Linked DNA regions of Daphnia pulex. The main gene of each other region encodes a partner of the protein of the gene in region 2 in a complex. Links are inferred from orthologs where the notes say so. Each region holds a gene or a part of one and is shown on either strand. Other genes may lie near its edges.

Region 1 (2,955 bases), about 1.2 Mb from region 2:
GACTTACGTAGTAAAAAAAAAAAAAAATATTTTGTCTATAATGCTAGTTTTTTCTTTTGCTTATTTCAGAGTTCGCTCACAACGGAATGCACTAGAGGGAGAAAGAAAAAAGAAAAGGAAAATAGTGGCTCTCAATTCACCTGCTGGAGGAAAATGTCAGCCTGTTGCGCATTTTTCTGGGCAGATTTCATCATGCAAGCATTTCTTCTGAATTTCCCCCCTTTTGTTTTGTTCTGCGCGAGTAATGCCTTTATATGTTCAAAGGACGTCGATATGACTTGTTTTCTTTTTTGTGTTACACATTCCGATCGATTGGCAGATATAAAAAAAATCTACTCTTCTTCCTCCCTGCTTTGCTGAATTCTTTATTATTTGCTCTGTGTCACCATCCTTCAACCGAGATTGGCAATTCTTCTGCAGCAAACTGTCCCCTCATCTTTCTTCCGCCGTTCATTGTGCTTTACCGATTACATAATGGAACAAGTGCCTTCACTCCTCACAAGGTTTTGATCATTATTTTTTTGTCATATGGCGAGTTACATCTAATAATACACAACACCATTCGCTAATGTACACAGCAGCAGCTACATTTGTATCTAAATCAGTGAGGCTGTGGAACATGGCCATCTACGTAAAAATTACGCGTGATGGTAGGAAGTTTAAGAACCATGCCTTCAAGATCGTGTGACAAGATGATTTGACAGCCCAGGCGAGAATTAGGCTTCAATCCAGGAGCCATGTCCAGCATATCCTCCTCCTCTTCCTTGGCCTCTGACAGCTTATCATAATACTCTTCTTGGACATAAACCTGGCATGTTGAACAAGCTAATGATGCTTCACATGCACCTAAATAGGTGTGTTGTAAATTTTCTCATGAATAAGCAAACTACAACCAACATTCAGAATATGGTCATTTGTTTACCTTCCAACTCGATTCCATAGCGGTGAGCCAAGTAAAGGACATTATCACCCACCTTCCCCCGGACTGGCTTCTGTTTTCCTTCTTTGTCAATGAAGGTTATATTTACACTAGAAATAAATAAAAAAAAATAAAAAATTGACCTTAATATAAATGAAAACTTTGACATCGTTTGATAATTAATCAAACATTTACACAATGTTGTTATGGAGTAACTTTTATTGCAGTGAACCTTACACTTCGTCTTCTGACTTTGGATCCTGCCATTCGTATTCCCCGCTCCACACAGCTGAAACAAGTAGCAAATAAAATAAAAAGGATTAGTAAAAATATTTTGAAGCAAACGACAGTACGGCACAATGACGTTATCTAATACTAGGAATTCATTACACAATCAAGAAAAATATTCTTACCGGGACTCAAAGAAAATGTTCGGACGTTATATTTGTTTTTTTGAACAAAACTAGATACATTGGAATGTAAATATCTTTCATTTCTAAATTTCCACCTGAAAATGTATCGTAAACAAGTTGTAAGTCGAACGGATGCTGCCATGCTGTGAATTGCGATATTGAACGATTCCGTAAGCGTATTCAAGTATTTTTAAATTTATACCTAAAATGAAATGCATTTTAAAATAAATTATAATTAATTTTTTATGACAAATTTTCAAAAACATTTCAATAGAACTCTAAATTTTTAAAATTTATTTACATTAGACAGTCTGACAACGCTTTCATCTGTGTCAACTCTATGCCTGGTGGCCTTTTTTTTCTTTTCTAGGTTTGTGTTTGTGGAATTTTTGAATTTACGCGAGCCTCTTTAAAAGACCGAATTGCATATGGTGTTTTGAAACACAAGTGAGAATGCTGCATTCGTTACTGTGCGGATTTTTTTTCATCAACCTCTAATTGAGAAGAATTTCGAGATCAAGGGACTGGCGGCCGCCTAAACAAAGCCAAAATCTAAACATCATGGCGGCTTGGTCAAAGGCCTATCGCTTGCGGCAATGCCTTCTGATAACGCTTCTGTTGCTGTTGGATATGTCTTGCCTTTTCTTGGCTGCAGAGTCTCCAAAAATTTCTTCTGGAGGAGATGTGGCAGCTGATGATCGTGACAGAACTTCTGTCAAAAAAGAACTCAGGAACCCAAACAGGTGGATGGGTGCTGGTTTGGCTGAAGAGGAAGAAATTGAACCCATCAAAGGATTCTATTTGGATGAAGGGTCTCAGATGCTTACATCTTTCATGCGCACAGTCAGCAACGAAGAGTTGGGGGTCACAAATCTTCAAACTATATATGACTCCCTTCCGTTTGGTTTATTGGAGAAAGATGACTCGTCCAGAGTGAAAGATCTCAGTGATCGTATTCAGCGTAAACTGTCTCACTATTCTTCTTTAGTGAACAGTAGTAGAATTGCCATTGAGGAACTCTTTTGGCATCACTTACACAGGCCTTTAAGCACTCCTGCACCTTGTTGTGAACTTCCAGATGGAATGCTAAGGTAAATAAATATTTTCAATACATTTTTTGAAGTGCTCTACATTTTATTTATACATTGCTGTGAAGGTATGATAGCCATTTTGGAACTCTGGTTTCTGAAGAACTATCTTGTGATGTGTCGGTACCAAACCACAAGCCCCTCAGTTTTTCCCCTGGACATAATCTGACTGATGGTAAACAGTTTCATGCATAAAAAATATTACATTTAAAATAATTGTGAATTTGTTTTGCAGTTTTTGCCAACAATTTGAAAGCAACTTCTTCCATCAAGTGGCAGTACTTCCTTAGTGCAGATGGTGGGCTCAGTGAATATCCAGCTCATCGCATTGATAGCAAGTCTACTGGATGCAACAAAGCCGGCGACCTTTTGCGCCGAAGGAACTTGTATCTTTCCTCAGTCTACCCAGAACCTAAATTTGTTGTCATGGTAATTGACCATGGAAGTGCGCTAAGTCCAAATCAACTATCCATCGCAAAAGCCATTGGAAAATATATCGTCACAAGCTTGTCGGATAAGGACCACATTGGATTGA
Region 2 (4,044 bases):
GCTTAAGATTACATTAACTTCTTCACCTTTTCCAAACTTTAAATGAAATTCATGTAATGACTTCAAGTATAATGTCAAGTAAAAGTGCCCCATAAATCACATACAAAGAGTGTGAAAGGAATCAAAAGTCTTCGTTACCATGCACACCTGCTTTTTTGTGTGCTAGGAACGACTTCAAACTTTTTTAACCCAAAGAGCTTCGACGGAAACTTAGTCGTTTGGCATTGTCAAAAATATCAACTCGTTTATTGAACAAAAAACGGACATATTAAGGCTGTCAAATTTCTCTGCAGGATGTGCCGTTTTTTTTTTTTTTTAATCTATTCTAGATCTAGTCCTTCGATACTTTATATTGACTTATTATTGCACCGCAATGGTACCGATAGCTAATAAATTTCCCGGCTCATTTTACTGTTAAAGAGTCCAAAGTAACTTGTAACTTTACGATACCATTTTCTGCAACAATCGTCTTAAAAGATATTAAAGGTTATTGGTCAACACTATTTTCAGTGTATATTTCCAAATCATTTTCTTTACAAGGCTGAATTTATACAGCAACATTTTCAGTTTTGTTTTTGAATGGAAAGATTAGTGCTGCGTCCATTTGATACTTTTCAAATCAATCCCTTCTTGGACCATTTCCCAAAGAGGACTAAAAGTGGAGAAAAAACATAATTAACATTTTTAGCAGAAATGAAGGAAGTTATTTGTCGGGGAATTCCAGACCCGGGTTACGGTTCGACTTCTTCGAATTCGGTATTTACCTCATTTCCCGAAGTTTGGTGACTTGATGAATACACTTTTGTGCGGTGTAATCAACCTCAGCTTCGGTGGTGAATCGCCCAATTCCAAATCGAATAGAAGAATGCGCCAAATCTTCTTCAGCGCCAATGGCCCGCAAAACATATGAAGGTTCCAGCGATGCTGAGGTGCAAGCACTTCCGCTTGATAGTGCCACGTCTTATGTAATAAAAACAAATATAGTTAAAAAGAAAGGTAGTGGAAGTTGCCTTTAAAGTTTACCTTTCAGGGCCATCAAAAGACTTTCTCCCTCGACGTAGGCGAAAGAAAGGTTAACACAACCTGGGTAGGAGTGTTCGGGATCTCCATTTCGTATGACGTGTGTTAAACTATGGCTAATCTGATCGATCAAGCGTTGGGATAGTTTACTGATTCTGGCGTGATCATACTAAGAGACGATTTGGATCAATTTAGTGATATGTAGATAATACTACGCCATGAACTAAAACCTGAAGTTCTTGCTGAGCTATTTCACATGCTGCGCCAATGCCGACTGTCAGCGGAGTAGGAACTGTTCCACTACGTATTCCTCGTTCCTGACCACCTCCGCTTTGCAGAGCTTCAATCCTAACCCGTGGTCGGCGTCTCACGTAAAGAGCACCAACACCTTTTGTTCAAGAAACGAGCGATGCAAAAAAAAAGTCAATTACATCGGAATAATAATAATCAAATAAATTGTAATTGATACCTTTAGGACCATAGATCTTATGTCCACTTATGGACATTAAATCAATTGACATCGATTCGACATCAATCGGAATTTTACCTACAGCTTGAGCTGCATCACAGTGGAAAAACACTTTAGCTTTTCGACACATAGCACCTAATGTTGAGAAAAATTTATGAATAGAAAAATAGACTCTACAATGTTTAAATTTTCAAACCAATTTCTGCTAATGGCTGTTTAACTCCAATTTCATTATTGACACCCATTATTGAAACCAACACAGTTGTAGGTCTGATTGCATTTTGAAGACTATTTAAGTCAATTAAGCCACTAGGAAGAACAGGAAGATAAGTTACTTCAAACCCTTCCCCCTCGAGAACGCGACAGGAATCGAGAACACATTTATGTTCCTGAAAATCATCACAAAAACAAAATTTTTTTACTCAATACCATAAGGAAAAAAATAATGGTTATTTCATGTAATAGATCTTACTGTCTGTGTAGTGATTATATGATTCTTTTTCATTTTGTAAAATCTTGCAACACCTTTAATTGCTATGTTGTTACTCTCTGTAGCACCAGATGTGAAAATAATTTCTTTTGGATCTGCATTTATAAGCTTGGCAACTTGCTGAAATAGTATTTAAATAAACTTTAATTTGATGAGTATTCTTAATTGTAAAACATTTTCTTGTAAATCAACCTCACGAGCTACTTCAACTGCCTTCTCACTTTCCCATCCATACGAGTGAGTTCTTGAATGAGGGTTGCCATAATAATTTGTCATGTAAGGAAGCATTGCATCTAATACCCTTGGATCCTAAAGTTAAATGGAGTAAATATATTTACATTCAAGAATGATACATTTTTGTTCATAGGCTATACTTACAACTGGAGTTGTGGCTTGAGCATCCAAATACAGTGGTCTCCCTTCACCTTCAAATTTACTGAAATCTTTGTCTATAATGAAGTTGAGATCACATATTAGCAAATAACTGATCATTAAGTGGAGTTATTATGTCTTACCCTTGATACCTGTCAGTGTACTGTATTTTCTTGATAGGGCAATGCATTTTGAAATAGGGAATTTTAATATATTTTGATGAAATGTCTTCTCTGTTAGCAAACTTTCTGCTTTTAAAGAAAATTGACATACAATCCAACGGTTTGATTTCGAAAAGTTACGAAACATTTTAAAAACTTCAACAAATAAATTTTAGACAACAAATCGCAGAAGTGCAGAACCGTACAAATCAAGTGTATTTTGGTTATTGGTTATGAAACACATGGATTGCCTAAGGCTAGTAAAATGCGGCGTTGGACCTTTGTAAATAATAGAATCAAATATATTGTTTATTCTTTAAAAATTGACATTTTAGCAATTAATTTACTTTAAGTAAATTTAAAATGTTTTTATTGGTTTGTTTTTCGTTATATAACAATATCTGGATTCTGAGTTCTGAGTAGCGAAGCTGACAATGGTGTCAGATAAAACTACACGAGCGAAAGCAGTCGACGCTAAGTAAACAATCGAATCTAGGCTTTCAGTTTTTTAGTGATTTCAAGGTTCAAGCCTTATTTTAAAAGTTATATTTACTTAAAACATTTGCAATACCAATTAGAATGCGACTTTCAAGCATTTTATGTGGTTTCAGGAAAAAAATGCCGCCTGGGAATATTTGGGGAGGGTAATAAAATATATAATTATGCCTGACCACAGACATGCTTAAATTGTGTTAATGTCCCTTACCGTTTACCCTCAGAAAATTATATGTTTAACTATATTGTTTTTATTAGAAAACATCGAATGGTTTATAAACATAATGAAGAAAATGGAGAACGACTAAGAAAAAGATTTGCCATTGAGGAACAAACCATGTTTTTTTTGAGACATTCATTCCTAACTCAGGTAGAAATCTATATATTTGTTTACCAAAAAAATGTGTTGATCTAGATAGCTTCATTCTAATTTTTCAAAATTTTCCTTTTAGGAAGAAGAAAGTGGCTTTTCAAAATCTTTGGGAAAACACGAAAAATGGCTGGCTGATAAGATTTACTTAAAACAAAGTAGACCATACAAACCTCATGTAACCCTTGAAGAACGCCTTGAAGGTCCTTTGATGGCTTCCAATAAGTGGGATTGAATAACAGTTAATGTTCTTTTGTATTTAGTGAATTAAAACAGTAAAAATCAGATTTGTGTTCCTTTGTGTTGGTGAATGAAACAGCAAAAACAAATTAAATTTGTCCATCCAACCAATTTGATTTATAAGTCTTGAAGTTTGGTGGTCCAGCCTTTAGGATCTTCAGAAATATCCTGCTTAAGCAGTGTCTTCCCTTCTCTTAACAAAGCAGCAAACTGAATTGCTAGGGGATCATAGTTGAGAGTGACAATAGCAAGAACATTTTCTTGCTCACAGAGGAATGCAACGAATTTAAGGTTCTCTAGGTCGCCATGGATTACAACATCATCAAACTGTGGAGCGTAGCCACAGTAACGTACGCTTTTCCCAAACATAGAAGACCAAAAAAATGGAACAGTTGTTTTGTAGATTGGTTCCGATCGTCCCATAATA

What was found. The genes of interacting proteins can lie anywhere in the genome.
Region 1: the proteins of cysteine desulfurase, mitochondrial-like (region 2) and adrenodoxin-like protein 1, mitochondrial are in contact, whole or in part, in a cryo-EM structure (PDB 8RMC), measured with the Homo sapiens proteins. The link is inferred for Daphnia pulex from reciprocal best matches to the Homo sapiens genes NFS1 and FDX2. Residues at the interface, in NP_066923.3 of Homo sapiens: Gln153, Lys157, Leu160, Asp161, Arg164, Ala168, Tyr175, Ala384, Ser385, Leu386, Glu387, Pro388, Tyr390, Arg393, Gln456, His457; in NP_001384335.1 of Homo sapiens: Ala104, Cys105, Glu106, Ala110, Cys111, Pro141, Leu142, Ile169, Thr170, Arg171, Asn172, Phe173, Tyr174, Val175, Asp176, His178, Lys181.

What each region holds. Positions count from the first base shown.
Region 1 is NC_060020.1:3,486,752-3,489,706, reverse strand, and holds adrenodoxin-like protein 1, mitochondrial, read right to left. Parts: upstream 1,498-2,955; 5' UTR 1,475-1,497; coding exon 1,333-1,474; intron 1,209-1,332; coding exon 1,157-1,208; intron 1,030-1,156; coding exon 923-1,029; intron 847-922; coding exon 602-846; 3' UTR 501-601; downstream 1-500. Other genes in the region: myophilin-like, read left to right, coding at 70-95; VWFA and cache domain-containing protein 1-like, read left to right, coding at 1,894-2,423, 2,489-2,595, 2,656-2,955. UniProt on the Homo sapiens protein: Electron donor, of the core iron-sulfur cluster (ISC) assembly complex, that acts to reduce the persulfide into sulfide during [2Fe-2S] clusters assembly on the scaffolding protein ISCU.
Region 2 is NC_060020.1:4,726,127-4,730,170, forward strand, and holds cysteine desulfurase, mitochondrial-like, read right to left. Parts: upstream 2,753-4,044; 5' UTR 2,661-2,752; coding exon 2,495-2,660; intron 2,429-2,494; coding exon 2,358-2,428; intron 2,289-2,357; coding exon 2,172-2,288; intron 2,100-2,171; coding exon 1,962-2,099; intron 1,879-1,961; coding exon 1,686-1,878; intron 1,625-1,685; coding exon 1,490-1,624; intron 1,409-1,489; coding exon 1,251-1,408; intron 1,190-1,250; coding exon 1,024-1,189; intron 961-1,023; coding exon 765-960; intron 653-764; coding exon 589-652; 3' UTR 501-588; downstream 1-500. Other genes in the region: uncharacterized protein LOC124193102, read left to right, coding at 3,092-3,156, 3,266-3,377, 3,460-3,612; apoptosis-inducing factor 3-like, read right to left, coding at 3,735-4,044.